Elephas maximus indicus: one gene and its partner. Each later gene encodes a partner of the first gene's protein in a complex. Links are inferred from orthologs where the notes say so. Each region holds a gene or a part of one and is shown on either strand. Other genes may lie near its edges. The genes, in order: LIN54 and E2F4.

Region 1 (15,274 bases):
CTTAATTTGCTCAAGCAATGAAACCACATCTGGGACAGCTGATGCAATTGGAGTCACCACCTGGTTAAGTTTTTGATATTCCACTGTCATTCTCCAAGATCCATGTGTTTTTTTGTACAGGCCAAATAGGCGAGTTGAATGGGGATGTGGTGGGAATCACAACCCCTGCATCCTTCAAGTTCTTGGTGGCGGCAATAATCTCTGCAATCCCTCCTGGAATGCAGTATTGATTTTGGTTTACTATTTTCCTAGGTAGGGGCAGTTCTTCCACTTGGTTTTTCCTACCATGAAAGTCCTTACTCCATTCGTCAGGGATAGAATGTGGATGTTCTACCAGTTGCTGAGTATATCTATTCCAGTTATGTGTTCTGGAACTGGGGAAATCACTACGAGATGAGTTCAGAGACCCACTGGACCCTTTAGGCAAATCTGAACTAACACTCCATTAATACCCTGACCTTCATATACCCCTACTATGACTGGTAGACCACAGTGATGTTTTGTGTTTCCTGGAATGAGCATCAGTTCAGAGCCACTATCTAGTAATCCCCAAGAAGTCTGATTATTTCCTTTTCTCCAATGAACTGTCACTCTCAGAAAAGGCTGTAGATACCTTTGGAGAAGGTTGGGAGAAAGATTAATGGTGTAAGTTTTTGGTAGTGTAGTGGCGTCCATCCTCAAAGGGATCCGGCCTCCCCCTCCCTCATTCAAGGAGTTGTGGGTCTGTAAACTGGCTCAAGTCTGGAAACTGAATGAAGGGCCATGACCTTCTGTTCTGGCAATTCAAGTTACACTGCCATTCACTTGACCTAGAAGTCTTCTGCTTGTACAAATCAAGTATTTAGTAGATTTATGATTTATTTCACTCCTAATGACACCATGACTAAGTAGTTAACAGCATAAGGCCATACAAGTCAGACTACTCTGATTACTGCTTTGATTCCACTGTGCATTATGGTAACTGTGCCCACTTTGCCTTTATTAATTGAGTGCTGCCTCTTGGCCCCTACCACCATGAGGTCCAATCAGCCCCTTTGTAGTTAGATGTCTTAATTCAATTAGGGCAATTTCCACTGTCGAATTTGGTTTACATAAAATAGCAATCACAGCTGTCTTTAAGGACGCTGTGGCTCCCTTCACAAATTTGTTCCTCACTGTTCTGGCACAAGGTGTGTCCTCTGAGAACTCCATGTGTGGGTCTGTGGGTCTAACCTGATAAATCCACTGTAACATGCCAATTTCCCTAAGCCTTTGTATTCCTTCTTCTATAGTATACCAAGGCAGGTCTAGTACTTCAACTTGATTTAGTGTGGGTTACCACATATTTTTTGCTTCAGCGAACCAACCAAATAAACTATTAAATCCTTTCCCATCCTCTCAAACTGAAACATTAAATGAAGAATCTGTGCTTAGTGGGCTTATATCAATGAACTCAGACTGATCCAACTTTATGTTCCTTGCACCATTATCTCACACTCTTAATAGTCATTCCCACACATATTCCCCAGGTTTCTGATCATACATGTTAGAAAACTCAAGCAGCTCTTTTGAAGTACAGTGTACCTCCTCCTGAGTCACACTTTGTACTTCATCTTTTGGGGCTCACTGGGACTTAAGTCTAATTATAGCTAGAAGTAAAAATGGGTGGTGGGGGTGTGTTCTGAGAACATTCAGCAATGTCTTGTAAGGCACCTGCCTCAGGCGATGCCCCAGGCGATGAATCAGACACCTCCCCAGGGGGTAGCTCAGACAAAGGCTCTTCAGACACAGCGTATGGTGATGAAGGGGCTAATGATTTCACTGGGGAAGGTGGCTTCAATGGTTAAGATTGTTTGTCAACTTGGCTGGACCATGATTCTCAGTGTTTATATGTGATCAGTTCCATAATGGGATCTTCAATTTGTCATTCCTGGCATAGAAAACCATATGTCTGATTTAAAATGGCCAATACCAGTCCATTTCAGATCACAAATTTTCTAGGATATCAATTGTCATGGATTGAATTAAAATACATCACTAAGGTCAACTCTACTTTGAGGAGGCAGCTCTTCCTCAATTGTTTTTGAGTGCCTTCCAAAACCTAAGGGGCTCATCTTCCAGCACTATATCAGACAATGTTCTGCTACTGTTTATAAGGCTTTTACTGGCCAATTTTTTCAGAAGTAGATCACCAGCTCCTTCTTCCCAGTATGTCTTAGCCTGGAAGCTTTGCTGAAACCTGCCCACCAGGGGTGACCCTGCTTGTATTTGAAATACCAGTGGCATAGCTTCCAGCAACACACAAGCCACCACACTATGACAAACTGACAGAGGAGCGGTGGAGCGGATGATAATTACTGAGAATTTTCCAAAATTTTGAAAGATGTCAAATCATACGTCCAGGGAAACTTAGAGAGCTCCTAAAAATATGAAACACCTGCCAAACATCAGCTGCTTTGGCACCATCACCTTTCTGGCCTGTACAGCACTGTTTGTCCAATTATTTTCATCTGCATGGCCCTTTCTCTTGTTATTTTATAAAACAATAAAAATTGGGGGAAAAAAAGATGAAATAGACACCTAGAAAGATAATATTCAACTGCTGAAAACCAAAGATAAAATCTCAAAGGTAGGCAGAGAAAAAAGACACTTTATGTAAAGAAGAAAAAAGACAAGAATTAAAAGAGACGTCTAGCCACAAATTATGCCATTCAGAACTCAGTAGCTTGGCATGTTGGCAGTGGAAGAGAAGATGTCTGGTTCTTACATCTTGATGCTTTTCCCTTGAGGCTTGCCTTCCCCTTGGGGATTATTCATTAAACACTGTTGACCCCATAAAACGGAAATTAATGGGACTGCTCTCCCTTAACATTTTGACACACATGTGAATATTCATCCTCCCCTTAGTTTACCTCAGCAGTGGTAAATAATGGGACCAGATAGCAATGGTTGCTAAGATTTTACTTAATGGTTGGGAAAAAAAAGAAGGAAGGAAATTACAAATACATGATGCAGCAGACTCAACATTGGTAGTGTACTCAGGGAAGGTAGGACCTTTCCTCATTCCCCAAGATGAGTCATGATAGGTCCAGGCCAGGGGTCTGTCACTTGTTCTGTAATGAGTCAAATAATAAATATCTTAAACTTTGTGGGCCACATATGGTCTTTGATATATACTTTTCTTCTTACTCTTCTTTTAACAATCTTTTAGCAATCCTATAAACACATTAAAAAAAAAAAAAAAAAACAACTCAGCTTACGGGCTTACAAAAACAGACCATGGGCTGGATTTAACCTGTGAGTCTCATTTTCGATCTCTGCTCTATGCCATTTGTGTAATTCCATTCCCTTTTGCTAGTGAGTGGTTTACGGAGAGATATATGGCCCAGGTCTGGCAATGTATTATAATGAGAAATCTGCTGGGGCACAGATTTAACCTGCTGATAAAAAGAAGTACAAAATGAGACTCAATGGGCACACCAGCCCAGGGGCAAGGACAAGAAGGCAGGAGGGGACAGGAAAGCTGGTAATGGGGAACCCAAGGTTGAGAAGGAACAGTGTTGACCTGTCATGGAGTCAACAACCAACGTCACAAAACAATATGTGTATTGATTGTTTAACAGGAAACTAGTTTGCTCTGTAAAACTTCTTCTAAAGTAAAATTAAAAAATAAATATAAAAAAATGCTTGTGGTTGTACACTAAGGAGAATTTTAAGATGTTTTTCCATAAAAACTCTACCCAGTTTCTAATAGCTTGAGGGGGAGATGTCTTCTTTCTCTTATTGGGCAAAAAGTGGGCACACTCCTTCAAACACATTAAAATCTTTGTGACCAGGTCCAAATGAACAAGGCCCAAAGAGAGGAAGTACTTTCCTCATTCCCCAATATTGAGACCCTCTTTCAAGATTTCATGCCCTATCCCAAGATGTGCCTCTTCTCAAAATGACTGACACTGGTACTATACTTCCTTCGAGAGGAAACCCCGTCTCCTAACCACAGGGATGATTATATCCCTAGCAGAACAAGTATATCAGAACATTACAGAGGATCTTTTATTTCCACCCTTTTAATTAAACAAATAAGCAAAAAAAAAAAAACCAACTATCAGAGATGCAAAGAAATCTATTTACCAGAGGAAAAGTAAATAAACTCTGTCTGCAACCAACAGATAACTTAAGTGATTGATTTTGTTGTTTCAGTCATTTGATATCATTAACCACATCATGTACCATAAGTGCAAAAATTTGGGTGTGTTGAAAGTGCCACAATCCCATATTCCTTATTTGAAATTCTTAAGACCAGATGTATTTTGGAATTCAGGATATTTTGGACTTTAGAAAAGAATATGCACCAACCATTTTTCAGACTCCAGTGTTTTTCTCTTTTAAAACAATGCTCATGGGGTATAATTTACTTACAATAAAATGCATCCATTTTAAATGGACCCAGTGAATTTAGACCAATGTCTACCCTCATGTATCTACTACCAAAATCAAAGTTAAAAAAAAAATTCCTATCACTCCAGAAAGTTCCCACGAACACCTTTTGGCTATACCATTTTTAAGACCACTCCTAGTGGTTTCTAGTGAAATATTCTATAGTCAAACACCTTCATACTTCTGCACTGATGCATAAGAATATTTACACCAAGTATAAAGTATATGAATAGCCTTATGTAATATTGGCCCAGGTTTTCCTGCCCAATGAGTTTGCCATAGCTTCCAAAACCCTTTCAGTTTTCAAAACATTTTGGATTTTAAAATTTTTGATAAGAGATTATAGGTCTGTTGTAAAAAGAGATAAATAATGATGAAAAAGAAATAAAGATGAAAATTACTCTTTTATAGATGTACACAAGTTGTTTGCTTGCATAAAGACATACTGGACTTCTAACAACATGGACTAATAAACATATGAACTTTGTGAATACTCTTTTGGAAACTAGCCTGTTTTTAAGAAAGTTTTATTCACTAGTGTACTTGGTGGAGTCCCTGGGTGGTGCAAACAGTTAGTGGACTCAGTTGCTAACCAAAAGGTTAGAGGTTTGAGTCCAGCTAGAGTTGTCCCAGGAGAAAGACCTGGCGATCTCTTTCTGAAAAGTCAGCCATTGAAAGCCCTAGGGAGTACAATTCTATGCTGACACACGTGGGATCACCATGAGTCAAAATCAACTCAACTGCAACTGGTATTGGCATACTTTGTACCTGGCAGTCTACCTGGTGGAAACCCTGGTGGCGTACGCTGCTAACCAAAGGGTTGGCAGTTCAAGTCTGCCAGGCGCTCCTTGGAAACTCTATGGGACAGTTCTACTCTGCCCTATAGGGTCGCTATGAGTCAGAATCGACTCGATGCCGCTGGGTTTGGTGTTTTTTTTTTTTTGTCTACCTGTTTTATTATAGGACTTAAAAATAAATTTTACTTTTATTTTTTGATAGTTTTCACCACTTCACATCTCCATACTACAATCTTTTTATTATTCTTTTTGTATCGATATTATCTTCAGAAACCGCTTGTATTTATTTATTTAAATATTTCAGTTTTTTTTTCAACTTGTTTATAGTTTGCCACTTCCTCTAGAACTGTGTTGTCCAATATGGTAGTCATTAGGTACACATGGTTATTTAACTTAAAATTAGTTTACGTAAAAATAATTAATAACGTAGTTCCTCAGTTGCATTAGCCACATTTCAAGTGCTTGATAGCTACATGTATCCAGTGGTGGCTGTATCAGATAGTGTAGATGTAGAACATTTCCACCATTACAGAAAGTTCCACTGGACAGAGCTGTACTGTCTCGTTTACTGTGTTCCTAGTCTCTAGCACACTGCCTGGGATTCAACAATCAAGAAATGTTTGCTAAATAAATGTTCTTAGACAATTTGAAAAAGCCATCCATGTAAATATACAGCTAAGTGTCTCTTTTGAAATACAGATTTTTTTTTTTGTCTAAGCAAAATGTTTAGTTTTATTAATTGGGGAGATTGAGTAACCACTTTGTTGCAAGATCAAAAATATGGAAAAAAAAAAAAATCCCTGACTCCAAAATTGCAACCATATTACACTCTACATTCCCTTGCTGTATTAACCACTCTCTCCTAAAGTATGTGATGCCATTTTGTACTTCTTCTTTTTTTTTTTTTTCTTTTGCAATATAGATGTTTGAATAGCAGTGACTCTTAGGAGCTAAAATGCTTTCTTTGATAAAGTAGAAGATTATATTTTAGACTGTATTGTAGTTTTGATTAATAGCTTTCAGTCAGTGAATGCTTACTATATGCCAGGCACTATTCTAAGTTTTTTACACATATTACCTCATAAATCTTCACAACAACCTAATGATATATGTATTATTCCCAATTTAGAGAGGAAAAAACTTAAACAAGAGGAAAGTAACTTGCCTAACTTCACAGAGCTATTAAGTGACAGGGACAGGATTTGGCCCTGTTACAGATTGAATTCAGTCTTCCCCAAAATGTGTATCAACTTGGTTAGGCCATGATTTCCAGTATTGTGTGGTTGTCCACCATTTTGTGACCTGATGTGATTTTGCTATGTGTTGTAAATCCCAGTTTCTTCTTGTGGTTAATGAGGAAAGATTAGCATGTGTTAAAGAGGATTAGGGTAGGATAGGACACCCTTACTCAGGTCACATTCCTGATATGACCTAAGGAGACCTTCCCTGGGGTGTGGCCTGTATCACCTTTTATCTTACAAGAGATAAAAGGAAAGAGAAGCAAGCAGAGAGAGGGATCTCATACCACTAAGAAAGAAGCAGTAGGAGCGGGGTGTATCTTTTGGACCCAGGGTCCCTGCTCTGAGAAGCTCCTAGGCCAGGGGAAGACTGATGACAGGGACCTTCCCCCAGAACCAACAGAGAAAGAAAGCCCTTCCCTGGAGCTGGCACCCTCAATTAGGACTTCTAGCCTAGACTGTGAGAGAGTAAATTTCTCTTTGTTAAAGCCATCCACTTGTGGTATTTCTGTTATAGCAGCACTAGGTAACTAAGACAGGGCCCAATTGGTCTAGCACCCAAGGCCATGAACTTAAAATAACACTGAGCTCTTTGTGATTACTTTTAATGTGGATCATTTATCTCTTTTTTTTTTCAGTATTTATACCTCTTATTTTTCTTATTTAATTGCATTTAGCAAGGACACCCTGAAAAATGTTTAATAATGTCTGTGATCATGAAGCTTTTCTCACTAGCTTTGAAGGTTCCTCATAAACTGAGCTTACCTTACTGTTGATTCCCAACCACGCCTGTGTATCATTCAACTTTCTTACATTTCTTGCACTTGCCACAGATCTTCCCACTTCCAGGCCTTTGCTAAGTTCATGCCACTGGTCTTGCTAAATCCTAAAAATTGAGTTTGGGATGGGTGGTATAGGGTGGTGGTGACTGTGGTAGAAAAGGAATTAACATCTGACACAGGACTGTGTAGCTGTTTGACATACCTCAGAATACCCTCAGAATCCTGGGAAGTTTTGTTATTTATATTTTATGGCTGGGAAAAGAAACTTGATGAACATGATACACTAAAAAGTTGAGGCGCCAGAATTTAAACCAAGATTGCTTGATGCCAAAGTGATTGCTGCTTCCACTACGTGTCTCACCTCCTCCATTGTGTTCCCTGTCTACTGCCTGTCACTTTGCCCTGTGCGTACTACATGCCCCAGGAGTAGTTATATAGACTGTACCACAACATTTAACATTTCATTACACTCTCGTGTTTTCTACTGTTTCATCTGTGTGCTTCTTGTCTCACACCGAGCAGTTATTAACTGAATAATCGCTCAGTCCCTGTTTGATTATCAGACTCCAAATTTGGGTATTTTTTCTTTTATAATAAGGGGTACCGAGAAAAATAAAAGGGAAAGGTGAATGAATACGAAGAATTTTGATCGTGTTAATCTTAGCCATATACTGCAAAAAAGCAAAAAGTTCCTTTCGAAATAACTTTAAGTCTGTGTAGTGTCTCTGCGGCTTTTTATCGATCTCTGAAAAATTAGTACTGAAAAAACGACGAGATTTGGCATTTGTAAATATTGATCCTCCCCATTCTCCCCCAAGCACATCAAAAAGTGGCAAGATGCTGGAAATCGCACCTACATCACGGACTTCCTTACAAGGAAAGCTAGAAAAAGAGGGAGTCTCTTCCAACAGCTGGCACAAACCCTGACCTTCCCCTCCCAACCGCAGCCTGATGGAACATTCCATGCGAAAGATTTGACAGAGAAACCACTTGGAGTCACGTGGAGTTGGAGCGTACTCACGGCGCCTTGCGGAATGACGCGACCTTGGGTTGCCAAGGGGCGGGGCCAGGCTTCGCGGAAGGGGCGGGGCGAAGGAAGCCGACCGGGAAGGCGGGGCGGACGAAGTGGAGGGGCGGGCGAAGAGGGGCGCGCGGGCGGGGAGGGCCCAGCGTATTATGGGATGCGGCGGTGGAATGGCGCTGGGCGCGTGATTTTGAACAAACCCGGGTCTGTGTCTCGGAGGCGCCGCCGCCGCCGCGGCTACTGGGAGCCCAGGGAGCGCGGCGCGAGGAGGAGGCGGCGGCGCCGCCGGCTTTGGTGAGCGTCAGCCCCCGAGATGGGGGCTTTTGAGCCGGAGGGCGGGAAGGGAGCGCCGGCCCCGGCTGCGGGAAACGGCGGGGGCGAAGGGCGCCGGACCGCCCCCTCTGAGAGCCCGGGCGGGGAGCGGGAACTTGCCGGCTGTGGGCCGCGGCGCCCCATCCCTGCGGAAGGGTCCTCGGGTCTCAGCCCCTTTCCGCCGGCGCCCAGGAGGGCGGCTGTCACCCGGCAGGGCCGGCACTCAACCGGCCGGCTACCGTTCCCGGCAGCCTGGAGGAAGGGCTCCGGTGGCTGTTGACACAGCGCGGCTAGAGAAGCCGGCCGTGTCGGCCCCGGGTTTCTGGGAACCAGTTTTGCTGCTGTGTCATTTTGTACCGGCCCCTCCTTTCTCTGCTGCCCGCCACCCCATTCTTCCTATGCTCCTTTGTATGCCACCTTCTTCCTGTGTGTCCGTTTTCCTCGCGAAGCCCACCAGCCAAATGTCATAATGTTCCCGAGGTGCATGGGGGAAGGGAGCAGACTGGGACTCAGCTTGGCCAGGCAACGGTAAACAACCAAGCGGAGTGCGGGTGGCCCGGACAGCCGGTGGGGCCATAAAGTTTAAAGATAAAGAAACTAGGGAGACTTTACACTCTCAGCGTCTAGCAGGCTGCGTATTAAAAACGGCGATTGGGCTGGGTTGGTGGACAGCACTTGTTGAAGCTGGAATCTACCGACTTTTATACGGAGTTGCCATGCAAGCAAGGTAGGGAAATGAAATGATTTATTCAACATCTACCTCACTTTTCTTAAACGAACTTTTAAAAAAGGTAGTAGAGTGGCCTAATTTTCAACCCTAAATTTCAATTTACTCGTTTCAGATAGGTCTTCTAGATCTTAGGTTGTAGTTGAATGGTATGAATTTCAGCCTTTGAATGGATGATTACCAAATTTTTCCTGAAATTGACGAAGGTGGTCAGTTTAGTTTTCTTTTTTTATGCTCGTTTCATTAGAAGCCCTGTAGCCTATGCTTTCTTGTTACTTCTAAGATGATTAAAAAAATACCTGTCTATGTTCTGTTTTAGTTACTTATGAAACTGCATGATGGGAGGCGCTAGTGGGGGTGGGTGGTAACTCTGGGGTCTTGTTCCAAAGCAAGCTGTTTATTTTCACTGTATTGAACAAATATGTCAGCGGCAGATGGTTTTTTAATTTGGTGACTTGGATCCTAAAAAAGTTTGACAAAGAATTTTAGTTTAGAGCTATATTTTCTATATTTTTAGAAATTGATCATTCATGCATTTATTTCCATAATTGAATCAATACATTTTAAGCTTAGTTGCACTTTGACGTCTTAAACTAATGACAAATCGAAAGTCACGATGTTCCTGGACAGAAATTATCAGATAAAATTAAGTGAAGAGGAAAGTAGTTTGGAGTCTGTTTGTCAGACTGTGTGTTGAAATCTTTATTTAAAAAAAAAAAAAAACTGTTTTGACCACAGTAGTTACATGAGGATCAGTACCTGTAATTTAAAAAGCAGGTATCAGAGAGGTCAAACAGGCATATGGAAATAACTCATTCTGTCAAGGTAGTTCTGACGGTGGAGTAAAATGTCAAGAGTAGGTGAGTGACGTTAAAGGTCTCGATAATGTCTTCAGTGTCTGATACGGACATAGTGAAACGCATTCCATCATCTGTCTCCAGTTGTTTTTCCGAAAATGAAAGAGTTTAGATCCCTTACTGTCTTTATGCCACCCTCCGCATTGCGTTTGCTCTTCAAATAAAAATATGCCTGACTTGGGACCCCGCAGATGGCGGGGCTTCCTTTCGCAGCTCTGCGGGGCTGGCAGGAGCACCATTTTTCGTTCTGGGGTGAAAGGTCTTTGCGTAGGCTGTGTGTACATTTGTGTCTCCCGTGTGCATTTGAAGGTTGGCGGGGCCGGCGGGAGGTTTCCCCGGATATGTGGGTGTGTGCTTTTCGGGAGGGGAGGACCTGGGAGGGGAGGAGGAGGAAGGGGGAGGTGACTGGCGGCGGCGGCGGCGGCCCGGGCTGGGGCTGTCGGGGAAGCTGCTGAGCTGTGATGGTGATGACGAGGTGAAAATGGCGGATCTTTCGAAATACAATCCCGGCCCCTGACATACCAGAGGCGGCGGCTGCGGCGGCGTCGCCACACGGCTCCCTTACCGGTCTCTGGGTACCCTGTAGCGCTCCAGTTTGGGCAAACTGAGAAAGGAAGCGGCTGGCCCGAGCTATCTGGCAGAGGCAAAACAAGCACCGCCCGGGCTCGGAATTGCCCGGGACCTTCTGGAGCCCCCACCTTGGAGCCGGAGGGAGGAGAAAGCGGCAGCCGCTGGAGGTAGAGAAGAAGGGGTACCCGAGGGCCTCTCTGCCTTGAAATCTCTTCTTGGGGGGGGAGGGGACATTTGTGTTGTGGATCAACTAATGACTTGTCTGTAGTGCAAAGAATCAGTAGCCTCATAATGACATCAACAGTATTCTTTGGGTGTTAAGAAGGCTCAAATTTGCTCTTATACCTAAGGCTGCTGCCGAGGCCTAAAGGAACCGCTAGCAAATATCTTGATTTCTTGATTTAATAGTTAACCTATCCACTCTGGTTGGTCAACACCAGATGATGTTTAGCAGTTTATGGAGTTGTACGTTTCTTTAAGGAGGCTGAGCATTGGCATTTTATTCTGCATTTTAGATCTGTGTGTTAGGTCATAGTCTATAACTTGTTGGGGTATGGACGGTCACATTTAAGCATATGGACCAGACCAGTTTTCTAACAATTAAAAATGTTGTCTTTTTTATTTTTTTAATGGCTCTTTCTCCCATAGAGTGACCCGCTTTGCCCCTGCTATTTGGCAAGTAACAATTGAGATACTGTCAGTCATATTTCATACCCGTGTTTTTCAGAGAAATTCTTTCCTAGCCCCATCCATTTCATGAAGTCAGAGAATAAAAGTTTTTACAGTACATTTTATAATCCAAGTGAAATACAGCTCTGGGAATTCTATTAGTCCCTTATTTTTACCTTCATTGTTAAGAAGGGGAATTGCGATTATTGTTGAGGTACCATCTCCTTTGGCTTGATGCAAGCATTTGATGTGAGTACATTAAGTCAGTACATAGATAAATTGAGACCTCAGTTCTATTCTAAATACTGGACTTGTTAGTCCTTTGTGTAGAGAGTTGAGAATTGCATTGACTGACTTTATGACCAAAAAAATAAAAGCCAAACTCATTGCTGTCGAGTCAGTTCTGACTCATAGCTTCATATTGTAGGTTATCTAAAGACACATGTATGTATTAGATTATTGTGCGAGATCTCTAATGAGTCTGTCTTCTTGCACACAACAGTTGTCATTCGGTGCTGTGGAGTTGGTTCTGACTCACAGCGACCCTGTGTACAACAAAACGAAACATTGCCTAGTCCTGCAGCATTCTCACAATCGTTGTTGTTTGAGCCCACTGTTGCAGCCACTGTGTCAGTCCATCTTGTTGAGGGTCTTCCTCTTTTTCACTGACCCTCTACCAAGCATGATGTCCTTCTCCAAGTATTGGTCCCTCCAGATAGCATGTCCAAAGTACGTAAGACAAAGTCTCGCCATCCTTGCTTCTAAGCAGCATTATGTCTGTACTTCTAAGACGGATTTGTTAGTTTTTTTAGCAGTCCATAGTATATTCAGTATTCTTCTCCAATACCATAATTCACATGAGTGAATTCTTCTTCAGTCTTCCTTATTCATTGTGCATATGAGGTGATTGAAAATACCACAGCTTGGGTCAGGCATACTGTAATCCTCAACACACAACAGTAGTGTCCTTGAAAAGTAACATGTGAATCAAATTTTTATACATTAACTTGGGGCCCTGTTTTTTTCCCCCCAGCTCTTGTGGGAGAAGGTTGAGTTAGTGACTCTGAGTATATGAAAAGTGAACAGAGAGGTAAATATTCAAGACATGCCTACTGGTAATGTTTATAATTAGCAGTGAATAATTTTCCTTATCCTCAAATTGCCTACGAAGAGATGATGCCATAGCTATGTCATACAATATCATATATTTTGTATTCAGAGTATAATTGTTTTTTGTGTGTATAGCTTGCACATTTGGCTTCTCACCACTAAAAGAATAAAGGACAGAAAAAAAAAATTAGGGGAAGTACCTGAGAGATACTTTAGATCTAGTTAATGAAGTTTTAAAAATCATTTGTCTGATGCTCTTGGATTATCCATTAGGAATTTGTTTTTATTTTACAGCATTTATGGTACAATTATTTGGGCCATAACAACCCAACTGTTAAATTAGTAGCAAGATTAAGAATTTTAAAAATAACTAAAATAAAAGATTAAAATCCCTTTTTATTGGTTTTCTTTTAATCACAGGGTTATTTTTGTGATTTTTTGTGATTGTCTTTAAAGCCAGTTCTCAGAATTATTGTGGTTAGAACAATTGTCTACTTATTAATAACTGAAGCTGTGCTAGGAAAAAATGAAGGAAGATTCATGCCACTGGAGATAGTCTGGGATCTTTTTTTTCTTTTTGGAAAAATGTTACAGATTTTCATTACTTCCTTCAGGTACTTCTTTTGGGTGTCTGTTATGTCTCACATACTATACTAAGCCTCAGGGATAAAATAACCTGAATATTACTGCATCAAGAGAGCTTCCAGTTTAGGAATCACTGGAGGTAAATTTGGATGGTTGGATAGGGCCTAATGCAGAAGGCCTTGAGAGTTATAGAAAATTTTTGAGGAGAGTGACAGCCTCAGAGATGCACTCTAGGGAGATATATTCTGTAGCTGTTGTGTAGGATGAATTGTAGGTGAGAGTAGATGGAGGTAAAAATACTCTAGTCTCTGAGGCTGTCAATCAGAAATTTTCTGTTAACTCTCAAGGCCTTCTACATTGATGGTGCAATGGTTAAGCGCTTGGTGGTTAACCAGAAGGTTGGCGATTTGAACCCACCACCCACATCCTGGGAGAAAAGACCTGGTGATCAGCTTCCATAAAAATTTCAGCCTAGGAAACCTTATGGGGCAGTCTGCTCTGTCCAATAGGGTCACTTTGAGTCAGAATTGACTCAGGGCATGCCACAGCAAGGCTTCAAGCTTTGCAGACTTGGCAGCTCTTGGTTGCCTTGGGGAGGAGACAGTTATGAAAGGGTAATTTGCACAATATATGACAGATTAATTATTTCTATGGAGAGAGAGACATCAAAGATGACAAGATCATAAACCTTGGTGTTTGATGAAATATTGAGTGCTGTTAAAGAAAAAAAAGAGAGAAATCAGAGGAAAAGCTAATTTAGATAAAGAGGAAAGGAACTTACACTTGAATTACAATCAGAGCTTCCAACAGGTTTGAACCAGTATAGTCATGGCCAATAAAGCAAAACTGGAAAAGGTCCAAATTTTAAAAATTTGGGTGGTCCAGCACCATAGCTAGAACAGAAAAAATACGAGTCAAAGGCCTGGAATGGAGACTCTGGAGAGGCGTAGTGAGCCCTTTCAGGAGCCTAAGGTATGCGGTTGGGTCATTGCCATGACTGAGAAAAGCAACACGCTTTCAGAGCTGCGGGGTCGGCCGCCATCTTTGAGTGGGGCACCGCTGTTTTCGACTGTGCACAAAATCCCACCGCAAGGGATTTCGTTGCTGTGCAACAGTTACACTGCCATTGTTTTCTTGGGGGAAGATTGAGTTTCTAGCAGGGCTCTGACTTGTAATTTTTCCCATTGTGGTTATGGTTCTAGTGCACCCAAATTTTAAAAAATTCGGGTCTGTTCTAGTGTCGCTTCCTTGGCCATGATTGAACTGGGAAGAACCAGTTTGAAGCCCTGGTTACAATGTAACTACATAGGTATCTTCACAGTAACCCGCAAGTAATCTGAGACAGATTGGTTAGGGTCACATGACAACTAAGAGAGCCAAGATTTAGAACTGGGTCATTTTGACTTGAATCTCCGTGTTTTTTTCCACCATATTAGTCTTAAGCATGGATAGTGATCAAAACAAAACAAAACAAAACAAAAAAATCCATTGCCGTTGATTCTGACTCAGCGACCCTATTGGACAGAGTAAAACTGCTCCATAGGGTGCCCAAGGCTGTAAATCTTTACAGAAGCAGTCTGGAAAGTCTTTCTCCCTTGGAAAGAGTTCGAACCATTGATCTTTGGGTTATCAGCTGAGCGTCTAACTACTGCACCACCAGTGCTCCTTCAAACAATTATACAGTCCCTTTTTAAAGGAAAACCAAAATTACAGGTCATCAGTATCGGCCTCAATGAATTTTCTGTTGTATTAAAATATTTTATATAGAGAGAGGTAAATTCCTTATATAGGCTTATGCTTATTGCTTTTATCCAAATATAAAGCAAATTAAATCAGGTTGATGGATGATGATGTTTTGCTGAAACGAAATCTTTCTTTGCATGGTGAATTACTAGTGTCTGCCTTAGCACAGGTGTGCTGTTTGTCTGTACTGTGATGACTCAATTCCTGTACCACTTTTCTGTCTAAACACTACAAAGCTTTCATCCTTAAATCACAGGTGAGGTGGTTTGGCTTTAGCTGCTGTAGAATCAGCCCTTGGCTCACGGTGGCCCCATGTACAACAGAGCAAAACAAAATGCTGCCCAGTCCTGTGCCATCTCTATGATCCGTTGTGGATGGAATCTAGATCACCAGGCCTTTCTTCCTAGGCTGCCTTAGACTGGAAACTCCAGTGAAACCTGTTCA
Region 2 (14,984 bases), on another chromosome or scaffold:
TGCCAACCTTTTGGTTAGCAGCTGAACTCTTAACCACTATGCCACCAGGGTTTCCCCATAAAGATTATAGACTAGAAAACCCTTTGGGGCAGTTCTACTCTGTTCTATAGGGTCGCTATGAGTCGGAATTGACTTGATGGCACACAACAACACCTAGGTGATGCCACCCACTCTCATGGCTTTAAATATGTCAGCCTAGGCTTTGTCCATAAACTTCAGACCAGTGCTGCCAGTTCTCAGTTCAACATCTGTGCTTGACTGCATAAGGTGCATCTCAAAATAACATTGTATTAGAAGAGCCTTCCCTAACACACCCCTATACAGTAAACTTCCTCTCCCCTCTCCACCACCACCTCTCCTTCCCTCCCTTATTGTTCTCCACAGCAGTTATCACCATCTGAAGTACAGCATATTTGACTGTTAGCTATCTGTTTCCTCTTGAAAATCTTCAGGATCCCAAACAGTGCCTGATCCAGAGCAGCTGAGTGAACCAAAGAGCTCTTCTCAGATCTGGAATCATTCCTTCCCTGCACTTTGTTTCCCCATCTAGATTCAGTCTTCCTCCTCGAGAAGTGCCCAGCCGCTCGAAAAAGCTTCAGGCCTCAGGATTCACTCTCCTCAACTAACTGGACACTTTCCCAGGCTCCTCACTGGTCTCTGGGCTTTTACCTGAGCCAGTCCTCTCCATCTCCCCTTCTTTCATTCAACCTACCTCCTCGCAATCACCAGAATATGCCTGTGTTTCTTTCATGTCTCAGGTCCTTCCGCCAGGAATGCCCTCCCAGTGCCGCCCTGGAGCATCCTTCAGGGCTTGGTTCAGGCCTCACCTCTTTCGGGAAGTCTTCCCAGCACATAGTTTCCCCAGTGCCTAGGCGGCTTCTCTACCGCCCTAGGCTGTCACTGTCGGAGCCTGGGTCTGTGTCCCCCCACCATTCCAACTCCCCGAGGGCAGTAACGGGTCTCATCTGGCCCCAGGTCTCCAGCACCCAGCACTAGGCGCAGATAAATGAACGAAAGGATGGGGGAGGAGCCCTAGATTATTGAAGGCGGGGTCTGGTGACAAATGAGAGGGTGTGGCCTGCACTAGTAAGAGACCCGAGAGGGTAATGTGGAAGAAGGGCCAATGGAAACGGAGAGATGGAGGAGGGGCGTGCCCAGCGGCCAATAAGCGGCGGGGGATGGGGTGAAGGGTGTGCCAATGGAGGGCGGGGCTGGAGGACAATGGAGGGGGTTCCTTAGTAGATAGCGGAGTCGCGTCGCTCGCCTTCTCTGCCTCCCGGGGGTCCCATTCGCGCGCCGCGTCCCAACCTGTTCGCCCCTTTACTCGTCGCCGCCGTTCCCGTTCCGTAGCGCCCGTCGCCTGCAGCCCAGCCCGAGGGAGCCAACACCTCTGACGCACCACCCGGGCGCGCGCACGCTCACAGGATGGCGCGCGGGTTCGCGTCAGTCTCCGCGGCGGCGCGCGCCGGAGACCACAGCCGGGGGCGGGGCCAGGCAGGGCAGAGGGGGTGGTGTCCTTCTCGGGTCACACTCTTGGGCGGGGACTCGTCTTAGGCCCGGCCCCTCTACGTGGGCCAGGAGGGTCTCAGGGCTTCGGGGGCAATCCGACAGCCAAAACACGGGCGTCCAGACACTAGTTCACTCCCCTGCGCGATTACGGGAAACCCTGGTGGCATAGTGCTACGGCTGCCAACCAAGAGGTCAGCAGTAGGAATTCGCCGGGCGCTCCTCGGAAACTTTATGGGGCAGTTCTACCCTGTCCTGTAGGGCCGCTATGAGTTGGAATCGACTCGATGGGAGCGGGCTTAGGTTTTTTTGGGGGGCGCGGATACGCGGGCGAGGACGGTACTTGCATACCACGCCGAGTCTGGATACATGGGATCGCAGTCTGTGTAGCAGGGTGGGAACCAAGGTACCATACCATACTGTGCATAACCCCTAACCTTTGCGGACACTTTTATTTCACCCCTCCTTCCCCCAGACACACAGAGCCAGAGGCCCGGAAGCCGTTGGCTTTATTCTGCAGGCAGCCGAGCATCAGGCGCAGGATCCCGAGGGAAGGCAGTAGGACGGTGCGGGTGTAGGCGCCGGCACTAGGCTGAAGAGTGCGCGGTGACCAGCAGGAGGCGAGGGCGGCGGGACGGCCTGTAAGGAGCTGAGTGCGGCCAGCCGCTGCTCTCGGGACACGTCCCCGCGCAGGTCCAGGAGGGCTGAGACGTGGTCCTCGCTGCAGAGCACCAGAGGGGCGAGTCAGCTCCGCCCTGCCCGCCCCTCCCGGGCTCCTCCTCCCTCCCCGCCTGGAGTCTCCGCACCTCACGTCGGGAAATTGTTGCCGCAAGCCGGCCACCTCGAGGCCAAGCAGCGTGGGGTCGTGCAGGTTCAGCAGCTCCCGCAGGGCGAGCAGCACTGGCGCGCACTGCACGCTCTCCTCCAGGCCCTGCTCACGTGGGGTAGGATTTCGTGGCGGCCCTCGGCCTACACCTCACCACTGAGACCCCGCCCGTCTGTCTCTCCGCTGAGCTCTTACCAAACCAAGAAAGAGCTCCCGGAGCTGGGTGGCATCATGCCGCAGGCGCTCGGCGGCCTGGGTCCGCTCGTCTGCACCACGGCACACTAAGCGGCCCTGCATCAGTGCGCGCAGGTACTGCAGCACCACGGTGCGCTCCGCCTCAGCCAGCAGCAGCTGCGGCGAGGGCGATCAGGCAGGTCCAGGTTGCTTTTCCCATCGGCTTCTCCCCATGCCCTCCCTCCCAACGCACCTGGACTGCCGGGCTCCGCACGCGCCGGAAGTCCCGGCAGAAGTTCGCAGTCCGCTCGCACACACCATCCAGCAGCTCTGGGCTCGACAGCCACCAGCGCGAGGGCAGACTTGAGAACAGGGGCTGGGGGAGGACAAAGACGGCGCTGGGGGAATGATCCAGACCCTGCATTCCCAGCAGAGGCCTCCACACGTACATTGTCACTCCACCTCCAACCCCCACCTGAAGCCTCACCTGGAGCTCCGCTAGCAGGGCCTCCAGCACCAGGCGGCAGATCCTCCTCTGCAGCTCGTCCAGCGCAGCTTCCACCCGAGCCAAGGCCACAGAAGCCATCCCATCGAGGTGAAGGACAGACACGGACGACCTAGAACCAAAAAAAAAAAAAACAAAAAACCGTTGCCGTCGAGTCGATTCCGACTGATAGCGACCCTGTAGGACAGAGTATATCTGCTCCATAGGGTTTCAAAGAGCGCCTGGTGGATTCGAACAGACGGCCTAGACGAACCAAAAATTTGTCTTCAGGACCAAGGCCAAGGCCCTCACGGCTCTTCGTGGTCCAACTACCCTAACGCCACCTAGTGGTGCGTGTGTGTGGCAGCTGGGGATGAGAAGGGCTGCTCCTTGCATTTCGGAAGGTCTGAGACTGGGAGTTGGGTCAGAGAGCTAGAACCGACACAGCCCCAGTCGGACCTGTCGTTAATTCGCTGTGTGACCTTAAGCAAAGCATGTCTTTAGGCTCCTATTTGCTCATCCGTAAGGTGAGGGAGGAAACCCTGGTGGCGTAGGGTAGGCAGTTCGAATCCGCCAGACGCTCCTTGGAAACTCTATGGGGCAGTTCTACTCTGTCCTATAGGGTCGCTATGAGTCAGAATCGACTCGACGGCACTGGGTTTGGTTTTTGTTTTTTTTAAGGTGAGCGAGTTAGTCCCAGGCAGGAGTGAGTAAAAATCATCAGCTTTTTTATCTGTCCTCCCCTGTCCCCTCACCCCTCCCCCAGAACATAAGATCCAAGAGGAAGGGAATTCCCTGTTTCTCACAGCTGTAACCCCAAACATTATCTGGCACAGAGTAGGGCCTTGATAATATTTATAATATTTATTGCCAGGCACTGTGGTAGGTACTTTACATGTTATCTCACGTGATTCTCAGAACATCCCATTATACCCAGATAATAGTAATGAGAAAAATGAGATTCAGAGAGATTAGGTAACATGTCTAAGATCATACAGACAGTAATATACAGAACTAGGATTGGAACCTGGAACTATGTGAGTCCAAAGTCCCTAATGGCCTGGTATGGACTGGTATGGACTAGTTACATACAAATAGGTGCTCAGTCAGGGTTAGTGAAGTGCGGTCCATGTAAGCCCCATACCTGAGTGCTGTGTGGTGGTTGAGTGTGGCCAGTAGGTAGGACACATAATGAGGAGCTATTGCTTCGCCCCTGAGGTGGTCTCGGGAGAATCGGATCAGAGCATCGCTGAAGCTGCAGTGGGCAGAGGTGGTGCCATTGTCACTCTGGTGCTCCCACAACCCTATTGTTGTTAGTAATTGTCATAGAGTCAATGCCGACTCAATGTGTGAAGAATAGAACTGCTACATAGGGTTTTCAAGCCACACGGTGACTCCTCTCACAGCCTCAGCCTCTGGTCATCTTGCCCCACCTCCAAAACACCAAGGCCCAGTTTGAAGGATCCCGTTCTCACTGGTGTGCCTTATTCACTTAAAGCCCCTTTGGATGCCCTGGGAGCAGGACCAGGGGTTGGGAGTGGGTCAGCGTCTTGGCGGACCTCCTCAAGAATGCACCCAGTTCTGACACTGCCATGCCATGCACCCGCTGCTGCAGTGACTTGCTGACCACGCTGGTCACACGGATGTTCTCATCCAGGATCTAGAGGCAGGGATGGGCAGCCATCAGCAGAGCCCCTAGCCCTGCCCCTCCCCTTTCCCCATGGGGGCTGCCCACCTGCCTGGCCACTTCCCACTCACCTGCAGCACAATGGCCGGCATCGGTGAGTGGTAAAAGCCAGATGGGTCTGTGTCTGGCTCCTTTTCCAAGCCCCACTCAGCTACCTCCCCATCCAGTGCCTTCTGCAGCCACTGGGCCACACTTGCCTGGGGGAAAGAGTGAGGGGCAGCAGGATGTAGTGGGGCACTGACCCTGCCAGAGACAGGCAGGCATGTGACAAATGAGAGATCTCTGTGTGACTCTGCACATAAAAGCCTGTAGCTGGTGGGCAGAGCTGCTCTGCACCTGTGCCTGGACCATTCACCTGGACTTTGGCTACAAATGTTGCCTCTAGCTGCTCGACATTCTCCAGGGTCAGCAAGGGCTCCAGCTGGGACACATCAGCGTCAGGCCCCAACTCAAGGCTTCCCATCATTTCTGGCCTGGAGATAGGTGGCAGGTGTCACATGGAGCCCCAGCCTCCAATCCACCCACTTCCCACTGTTCCCAGGTCACTGACCCCAGGTACACATGCTGTGCCCAGTGCAGCAGGGTGAAGGCATCAGCAGCTCTCAGTTCAGGACCTGTGAGGAGTTGCTGCAGGCTGCGGCGCAGGCCGCTGTGTAGGGTATGGGCCCAGAGTTGGACCACCTTGTAGTTCGGCGGACAGCAGGGCGCTACCAGTGCCTCAGCTGTAGCCAACTCGGCTGGCAGTGCCACACGCAGAGTTTCCAGCCATTCTGCTAGGGCCCCTGGCCCAGGCAGCAGAGATGTCCCAAAGTAGACCCGCTCCAGACCCTCCTGTAGTGCCCGCAGAAAGCGCTGCCGCCAGTCCTGGGGGTGTTGCCCAAGGGGGCCTGTGCGCCCAGCTTCCACCTCGGCCACACGCACAGCAGCCACCAGCAAGGCTGGGTCCTCCCGTGCCAGCTGCCCTGCAGTCCCTGCTGCCACCTCCACAGCCCAGCCCAGTGCCTCAGTCAGAGGGCCCAGCCCCTCAAAGGCTGGTAATTCCAGGCCCCCCAGGGCTACCCTTGTGTTCTCTCGAAGCTGTTCCAACTCCCACAGGCTCACATATGCCTCCAGGAGCCGCTGGGCATCAATCAGGGTCTGCGTGTGGGCCACTGCAGCTGGTACTAAGGAAGAGGAGACAACCTTGGGTGTCAGCTTTCCTACCTGTGAATGGGTCCAGTGGTGGATACTGAGGCCCTGGGCCTGCAGGGATGTGTAAGATACTTAATAACCAGTACAGTAGAGCATTGCCCAATCTGACAGAACACAGGCAAGGTCCTAGAGGCCCAGTGGGCCAAGTGTCAACCCTTGAGCTGATGGAACATGAGGAAGTCAGGGATCCCGGAAACAAGTCAGGAAGAACTGGGGAGCTATGCTAGTGGCTATTCACCCAGGCTATTAGGGAAATATTTCAATATATTAACAATCAGGGTGGCCAGAGTCACTTGACCGGGAGTTAGTCCTGTTTCAGACATCCCATGCTGGGAAACCCCAGGATGAGGTACCTTTGTATCCAGCTTCATATGTCATTTGAAGCCTCAGCTACTCTCTGGGAGGTCCCAGGTGTGTCCCTTCATGCAATCCCCACCTGGTGACCCAGCCCCTTGATCAGTGGATGTTTGTTGACTGACTGCTGGCAGGCTGAAGCCTGGGGCCCCTGTACACTCACCTGCTCGAAGCCGAGGCAAGAGCTGAGACAGGGCCTGCAGTTGCTTGTGTTGGGCAACCCGCTCCTGCAGGGGCTCTAGGGTCAGCGCAGCCTCAGCCATGCTCCTGAACAACCTATGGGCCTCGCCTAGGCTCTCCCGGGCTCCCTGCACAGCCTCAAGGGCCTGGGCCAGCTGCCACACACCAGTCTGCACACCCTTCAGGTACGATTGCACCACCGACTGTAGAAGGGAGGCATCCAGTGAGGCCTGGCTGGCCGCAGCCCACCCCCAACACTCCAGCCCCTGCCTGATGCCCACCTTGATGCGTGCTTCCAGGGAGGAGGTGCGCTGCACCTCACGGCTCCGGTACTGGCCCAGCCTGGCCAGCTGCTCTGGCCGGTAGAAGATGCCTGAGGCCCACTTCAGTGCGGCACCCCGGGCCAGGCGTTCCGCCCTTTCCTGCTCTGGCCACTCAGGCCCAGGGCAGGAAGAGCCTGGGTGGCAGCAGCGTTAATCATCAGTCAGTCCAGCAGGGCCTGCAGGAAGCCGCCGCCGAAACTGCTCCCCTTTCCCTGTCCCCCAGTCCACTCTTTTCACTGCCCTATTGAGCTCCAACCAGGCTTGCCTTACAGGACCAACCCCATCATTCCTGTCCTCCTTGCCGTCATCCCTCCTCAGCCCACCCAGAGGGGCTCCTACCAGGGGGATGTGCAGACTCCTTGTTGTCCTTGGCTGCTGGGTCCATGGCAGGCCCTGGAGGAGCCAGAGCTGAGCTGGGAGTGGAGGCGAGGAGCTAGGTTACAGCAGATAGAATGGACGCTCCTTGGAGCTGCAGCCGCTGTTCAGGCCCCTCCAAGAAGGAGGGAAGTTTGTGTCCAGTCCCTCAGGAAATGAAAGGAAGGTGGGTGTGGTGGGGGAGGTACCTGGGAGGCCTTCACCCACTGGGTTTCTCAGTTGTGTCCCCTGTAGGGTAGGCACAGGTCTCCACTGGGCCCTGCTCCTACTCTGAGTTTTAGAGGTCAGTTTGGTGTGCAACCCACCAGGCTTGACCAGGCGCCCAGTTCTCCCTCCTCCACAGACAGCCTTGGCCTTGAGGATGGCCCTCTCCCCCAGCCCTGTGGCAGAGCTGGTCACTCCCTTCACTCCCAGTCCACTCCTGGGTACACAACAGACTTCCTCTCCTCAAGGAAGCCTCTCTCCCCACTTGCAGCCCAGGAGCCCCCCTCCTCCCGTGAGGCCCCTCCTCCCCAAGGCCACAGGCAGAACGGAAGGAAGCTGAGTCTCTGGCACTTTATTCCCAACAGGAAAGAACATCTGAATGCGAGGTGGGGTGGGGAGGGTTGAGCACCACTTCCCAGAGGGCTGGGGGTGGGGGGTGTACATGGAGTCCTAACCAGTCCGTGGCGGTACCTCTTAGTGCCCTGGACACAGTCCCAAACCGGACTGGGGCTGGGTGTGCACGGACTACCACACAGTATGAAGTGTGTTGGTGAGTCCCTCAGAGGAAGGTGTGTACCTCTGCAGAAGAGTGAGAGGCCACAGGCTGTTGTGAAGAGGGTGATTGGTGAGTGAAGGTGAGAGGGGGGTCACGGAAAGGCCACGAAAGCTGTGTTGAAGAGCTGGAGTCTTCAGTGCTATAGGGAGCCATGGAGGGGACTTCAGGGGAGTAGTAATGTCATGGGTGCTGTGGTGCACCACCCATTTACCCCTTCCCGCAGCTGCCAGGAGTGAAGTCTGCTCAGGTCTCACAGCTGAGTCTCTCAGTTAATGTTGGGGTACAAAGGCCTGGGCCCCTTGCCTGACTCTGGAATGCCTTTGAATGACCTCCCAGCTTCAGAGCTTCTAGTAGGATGGGCTGAGCCCTCTATTATAACTGTGCCACAGTTTAACTCCTTCCCTGCCCAATTCTGCTTGTCTTAAATCCCTTACAAGTGTGGATCTCCAATAAGCTTCTTACAGGCAAATCCCCTTCTCAAAGTCTGTTTCCCAGAAACCTTGACCTAAAATAAACAATAAAAATTAACAATGTTGAAAATAATAAAAGGATACTAGCAAACACAGAATCCTTTCCTGCATGCCAGGAACTGCTTTGCACGCTTTGCATAGGTAAACATGTTTGCATTGGCTGAAAAGTGGTTACAATGCTGTGGCAGCGACTGGCCCTTTGAGCTCTACTGTGTGGAAGTAAGAGAGACATGAGGCTGGGAGCATGGATTGAAGTAGAAGGGCTAGATGTAGTTAGTGCTTCCTCTTTGGCAGGAAGTGAGGGACAGTAATACGGGTGCGTGACCTCAAGACAGTGGGGTAGCCTCTAGGAGCAAGTCTAGGAGAACCCGTTGGGGTCATCAGGCAGTGTTGTCTCCTCTCTGGAGATGGGGGCTGTGGCGGAGTTAGTGGTGTTGGAGCAGGTTGACAAGGAAGTTTCCGGTGGCTCCCTCTTCTGTACTGCCGGGGCCGCCCCTGACCTCTTCCACATCCCTCCCCAGAATGTCTTGCACTTTGGATCCCCGGAGGGTTTTCGTCCTCCTCGGCGGTTGGACATTTGCTAATGGTCCCTCGAGTTTTGCGGCGGTGCCCGCAGAGAGGAATTGCGCCGGGTTCCCTGGAAGGGCGCAGGGCGGAAGCGGAAGCAGCGACACTGGCGCCGGCGGCCGGGCGCCCAGGAACGGAAGCGGAAGTGGCGGCGGCGCCGGCCTGGCCTGGCTGAGGGGAGGCGGCGGGCTGGCGCGATGGCGGAGGCCGGGCCACAGGCGCCGCCGCCCCCAGGAACCCCAAGCCGGCACGAGAAGAGCCTGGGACTTCTCACCACCAAGTTCGTGTCTCTTCTGCAGGAGGCCAAGGACGGCGTGCTTGACCTCAAGCTGGTGCGGCCCGGGCTAAGGGGGTGACGGAGGGGTTGGTGGAACAGGCCTGGGTCCTGAGCGGGAACCCCCGGGGCGGCCCGGCTGACCTCTCAGAGAGCAAGCCGCCATCCGTGTGCCTTCGCAAAGGAAGAAGACCGGAAGCCGTTTCATTCATTTGGTAGACGGCATTGGGCGCCAGCTATTTGTCAGGCGCGGGGCTGCAGGTGCTGGCCCTCGTGGCCCTCCTGACTTGGCGGAGAAGCGCATCTAAACATTATTTCAGGGCTTTACCAGGCCTCTTCCTGCCCCACGGTCCTGGGTTGCTGTAGTGCTTGAGTGGAGGGTTTGGACAAAGGCAGCCCCCTTCCCAGACCACGTCGCAGGGTAGCTTGACGCCCGCTGTCCCGACAGACACCGTGGGAGTTTGTGTGTACGTGGGTAGATGGCTCGGGTGCACTTGGGAGTGGGGCTGAGCATCCTCTGTTCTGTTCTGTCTGTCAGGCAGCTGACACCCTAGCTGTGCGCCAGAAGCGGCGGATTTACGATATTACTAATGTACTGGAGGGTATCGGGCTGATCGAGAAAAAATCCAAGAACAGCATCCAGTGGAAGTGAGTGGGGGCATCTGAGAGAGTAGTGGGGTTTTCTAGCCAGAAGTGCCAGGGATGTGGGGCGAGGGAGAGGTGCAGGAGAGAGCAGGTGCCATGGGACTTAGAGTGCCTGGCAGCCTCTCAGCCCGACTCTGTGGACTCAGGGGCGTGGGTCCTGGCTGCAATACCCGGGAGATTGCGGATAAGCTGATTGAGCTCAAGGCAGAGATCGAGGAGCTGCAGCAGCGGGAACAAGAACTGGACCAGCACAAGGTGTGGGTGCAGCAGAGCATCCGGAATGTCACAGAGGACGTGCAGAACAGCTAATATCCTCCTGGCGGTCCCTGCTCTGGGGGAGTGGGTGAGGGGCCACCTGGTCCAGCAGGGTTTGCTCTTTGGTGCCCTGGGCTTTGTCCTTCTTGGGAGGATGGCCCTGCAGCCCCAGCCTCGGGCTCCCTTCTCAGAGCTCCTCTGCTTCCAGTGTTCGCCTTTTATTCCTCCCCACGTGGAACCCAGGCTCCAGGACTTTCTCTGAGGGCTCGTGTGTCAGACTTCTGCTAAAGAGCTGGGTCCTCTCTGTGGTCTGCCATCTGTCACCATAGGCAGGGCACTGGCCGTTCTCCTTAACCCCCACACCTTGGCCTACGTGACTCACGAGGACATCTGCAGATGCTTTGCTGGTGAGCAGAGCCTGGGTAGAGGGATTGGGGGTGGGACTGAGCTGAGCCACAGCCCTGAACATTGGGCTCAGTGTCCAAGGAGAGCTGCATCTCTTAGGAGGGCTCCTGGGGCCTGCCCAAAAAGGAACCAAATGTGGGTAAGTCCTGGTTTCGAGGGTTCACTGGGACCCTGTGGAGGCCAGCTATACTGAGCAGGCATAGGATCTGGGGCTGGGTCCCTGGGTCTGCCCCCGTCTATACTGTCCCTTGGGCTTGGCTTCTCAGGCACTGTGGAGGGAGGGAGAAAGAGAGATAAAGGAGAAAGAAAGAGCATGTGTGCATAGGTGTGCTTATGTGTAGGTAACAGTGGCATCTACTTCCAACCTGTAGTTTAGTTGCGTTGTGGATACAGGAGCTATTCCTTCTCCATCTTGCACCCCCCAGGCTGGTTCTGAGGAAGAGACATTGTCCTTGACCAGAAACCCTATACCTTGGGAGCAGCCCCATCAGTTGAGCAGCGAGGTGCCCATGAGCAGTGATCTTTTGCTCCATGAATTTGAACACAGATTTCCTGATTACTGACCCCTGGGCTCTCGGGGAGAGTAAACCTTTAGCTCTCTGCCCCAGCTACTGTGGGGGATGAGGGAGGACTCCTATCTAGCCCCTCAGAGACCATGATCTCCTGCCTTGTTCCAAGGGGCAGCACCCCCATTCCAGCTCAGGCCGAGCCCATGGCATTGACTAGCACCCTTGTCATTCTAGGAGATACCCTCCTGGCCATCCGGGCCCCGTCAGGCACCAGCCTGGAGGTGCCCATCCCAGAGGTGGGTGCTTAGCCCAGACAGGCGGGGTTGGTGGAGGGCGGGTGCTGACTGCGGGGCCTGATAAGTCCCGGGTGGGGCAGTTCGGGGGGAGGCCTGGGGTTTGGGGTTATCTAGGAGGACGGGCAGCCTGGGGTGGGAGAGGATACTGTGCCCTGGCCCAAGGTCAGGCAGGAAACAAGCCTGTTCCCAACTCTACTTCTCCCTCACCTCCACTTCCAGGGCCTCAATGGGCAGAAGAAGTACCAGATTCACCTGAAGAGTGTGAGTGGGCCCATTGAGGTGCTGCTGGTGAACAAGGAGGCATGGAGCTCACCACCTGTGGCCGTGCCTGTACCACCACCGGAAGATCTGCTCCAGGGCCCACCTGCTGTCTCTACTCCTCCGCCTCTGCCCAAGCCTACCCTGGCCCAGCCTCAGGAAGCCTCACGCCCAAGCAGTCCCCAGCTGGCCATGCCTGCCCCTGTCCCCAGCAGCGTCGAGGCCCAGGGGGTGGCCGGCCCAGTAGCTGAGAGCACAGGTGAGGCATGAGGAGCAGCTGGTGATGGGGTTACCTTCTGGGACGCTAGAGGCAGTACCTCTGTGTTGTGGAATGCCATACGCAGAGCTGGATGAGAGCCTTTTCCTGGCTCCCACCCTGCCTCCCCTTGCTGTGACAGTGAACAAGCCCTTTTTAACAGGGAAACTGCTTGAAGGGGCATTCGTGGTGGCAGTTTCCCCCAGGTGCACCTGTGCTTCACTGCCCTGGCCGCCCCACTTGAAGTGTGGCCATAGCAGCCATGTTGTCCATGAGTCTCCCTTGTGCAGGCCTCACACCTGTCTCCAGTAACTCATTTCCAGGTTACCACTTCTGGGGGACTGGCAGTGCCTAATTCTCCTTGGGCCTGGAATGGCCATGGCTCTAGCACAGCTTTCTGCCCACCATGTGACTGGGTAGGGGGATGTGGTTGCAGTGAGAGGTGGCCCTGGAACTGATAGCAAGGACAGTGGTGAGCTCAGCTCACTCCCTCTGGGCCCGACAGCACTGGACACCCGGCCACTGCAGTCTTCTGCCCTGCTGGACAGTAGCAGCAATAGCAGTTCATCTGGATCCAACCCTTCTACCTCCTTTGAGCCTATCAAAGCGGACTCCACAGGTGGTGAGTACCTGCCCACCTTGGCCAGGGAGAGCCCCGCCTCAGCCCACGCCTGGGTCAGTGACAGGACTGGGGCTGGAATCCAGCCCTGGTATCTCAGCCAGAGATTACCAGCTCAGGAGCCCCAACTCCCTCCCATCAACCTCAGCCTTTGATACTAGAGCCCTCTGCTAGTTAGAGTGAGTGGTGGTACCTGTTTTGTCCCCCCTCCTGGTTTAGCACAGGGCTCCCTGGCCCCTTCTCAAGCTCTGCCTGCCACCCCTTGGACTCCGGCCTCAGGAAAGTGCAAGCCTTCCCCTGGGGAAGGGGGGCTGTGGCTGTGGTATGGCCCTGAGGCACCAAAGGTGGTCAGTAGCCTTCCCAGGAGAAATGATGTTATCTGTCTGGTGTCCTCTCTCTCCTATGTCCAGGACTTATTCTCCTCAGCCCATAGCATTGCTGTCTCTCTCGTAACTAAATGACCTGATCCTCCCTTATGTTCCCCCTTCACACTTTCGTGTGTCTTCTCAGCCTGCATGCCTTGAAAAAGTAAGCTCCGGTCCATGTCATTGTCACCTAGTCGTCTTTCAGGTTGGGTTAGGGTCCCCCAACCCCTAGTGCTATATCAGCATCACTCATGGTAAGTTGCTAAAGACCTGACTGCCAAATGTAGCAGGCAGCTCGGGGGTACCTTCTTGCTTGGTGGTGTTGATTTTCTTTTTTCTGTGGCTTTAATGATACTGGCTTTTGGCTCTTCTTCCTCACTGGCTTCTTCTTCTCAGTCTCTCCCTGAAAATCCCTTAAACATTGGCACTTCCCTGGTTCCTGTCCCATTCGACCCCTGGGAGGGCTGCAGCTCTGGGTGGGTGACCCCTTCACTTCTCTCTAGTCTGGCTCTTTTGCCTGAACTCCAGGTCTCTGTGCACTTGCACTTGCCTTCTGGATGCCTGTCTCCCCTAGTACTTGATTCCCACATACCCTCAACTGAACTTACATTCTTCTCAAAACCTGCTTTCCTGCCTCTGTGAACACCCTACTGTTAGCCCTGGGCACCCAGGCTTGACACCTGAGTGTCACTCTAATTCCATCTCCTTCCTTCACCCTCTGCTCCCAACCCCACCTCAGCTAAGTGAGTTCTTTCCCAGACATTGCTTATCATCCTTCCTGCATCCTCAACCCCCAGGATTGGTCTCGGGCACCTCCAACCTAGATAATATGAAGCATCCACCTGTTTACCACAACTGACACAAGAATCTTTCTGAAATGCAAGCCTGACCGTGACAGTCCCGTGTTTACAAAAGTACCTCTAGTGGCTCCCTGAGACCCACTGAATAAAGTCAGCTCCTAAGCCTGGGGCGTGAATTCCCTTGTGGTCCAACCCCAGCATGCTGCTGCTCCTTCTTCCTCTGCTTTCTATATGCCTCCTCCCCATCAGACCTTTCTGGTGGAGTGGTGATCTGTAGCAGGTGGCTCGACCTGAGGTGTGGGCTCAGCCTGGCACAGCACAGGTGCTCGGCATGGATGGGGGTGGACGAAGTATCCTCAGGCAGGGTGTGCACAGGAGCCCAGAAGGTGGTGGGCAGGTCTGCTCCCTTCTGTAGTATCAATGAGTGAGGATGGCTGTGCCAAGCACCTGTGGTGGGCCTTTGGTTCTCTGGGCTCAGCACTGAGGAATTTGAGTCTAGCAGGGGAGAGCAACAGACAATGCCAGCTTATCTCCTCAGTTGTGTGGAGCACCAGGGTGGATGGTGTAGGATCTAAGGAAGGCAGGGGCTGAGCCTCTGTGCCCTTCAGCATAGTCTTGAGCATGGCCTTCTTGCCTTTCAGTTCTGGAACTCCCCAAAGAGCTGTCAGAGATCTTTGATCCTACACCAGGTAGGGCTGTGTTCCTCCCTGGGGCTGAGCAGCACAGCTTTTTGGGTCCCACTGCTGTGCTGTTTTCTTGTCCTTCTGAAGACCTTATGGCTGTGCTTGGTACCTGGGGCAGAGGGGAAAGCTTCTGGTGGGTGTGGGAGGGTCCCCTTTTCTGGATCCAGAAGTAACTGAACACTCCTCCTTCTCAGAGTGCATGAGCTCAGAGCTGCTGGAGGAACTGATGTCCTCAGAAGGTGGGTGGTCCAGGATGCTGGGGAGTAGGTGTGGCCAGGGGGTGGGTGGCAGCTGGGTGGGGCCTTGGCTCCAGGCCTCAGCTTAGTGCTCTCTGCAGTGTTTGCCCCCCTCCTCCGTCTTTCTCCGCCCCCTGGAGACCATGATTACATCTACAACCTGGACGAGAGTGAAGGTGTCTGTGACCTCTTTGATGTGCCTGTTCTCAACCTCTGACTGACAGGGACTTGCCCTGTGTGGCTGGACACAGACTACCTGACCTGGGGGACCTTCCCCCACCCTACACCTACACAGCCACAGGCTCCTGGCTTCCCCAGCCTTCCCGCACCGCACAGTTCAGGCCACGACTCCCACCCCTGCCTCCTGCACTTGCACCTGTACTGTGCTAGGAGAGCAGGGGAACGCGCTCAGCCCCTCCATCCTGGAGCCAAAATGTTCACCTCTCCTTCCCTGGAGCCTGGTGACACAGAACCTCAGACCCACCC

Evidence for each region.
Region 2: LIN54 (region 1) and E2F4 share a complex: the UniProt entries of both Homo sapiens proteins name them as parts of the DREAM complex. The link is inferred for Elephas maximus indicus from reciprocal best matches to the Homo sapiens genes LIN54 and E2F4.

Annotation. Positions count from the first base shown.
Region 1 is NC_064823.1:73,308,547-73,323,820, forward strand, and holds the start of LIN54 (protein lin-54 homolog), read left to right. Parts: upstream 1-8,467; 5' UTR 8,468-8,551; intron 8,552-10,570; exon of another isoform or gene 10,571-10,890; intron 10,891-15,274. UniProt on the Homo sapiens protein: Component of the DREAM complex, a multiprotein complex that can both act as a transcription activator or repressor depending on the context. In G0 phase, the complex binds to more than 800 promoters and is required for repression of E2F target genes.
Region 2 is NC_064839.1:33,593,575-33,608,558, forward strand, and holds E2F4 (transcription factor E2F4), read left to right. Parts: upstream 1-7,762; 5' UTR 7,763-7,929; intron 7,930-8,851; 5' UTR 8,852-9,094; coding exon 9,095-9,229; intron 9,230-9,709; coding exon 9,710-9,819; intron 9,820-9,962; coding exon 9,963-10,124; intron 10,125-10,434; coding exon 10,435-10,478; intron 10,479-11,219; coding exon 11,220-11,281; intron 11,282-11,500; coding exon 11,501-11,798; intron 11,799-12,300; coding exon 12,301-12,417; intron 12,418-12,633; coding exon 12,634-12,875; 3' UTR 12,876-14,184; downstream 14,185-14,984. Other genes in the region: EXOC3L1 (exocyst complex component 3-like protein), read right to left, coding at 2,038-2,227, 2,313-2,437, 2,528-2,683, 2,760-2,882, 2,994-3,123, 4,135-4,245, 4,550-4,650, 4,749-4,874 and 5 more. UniProt on the Homo sapiens protein: Transcription activator that binds DNA cooperatively with DP proteins through the E2 recognition site, 5'-TTTC[CG]CGC-3' found in the promoter region of a number of genes whose products are involved in cell cycle regulation or in DNA replication.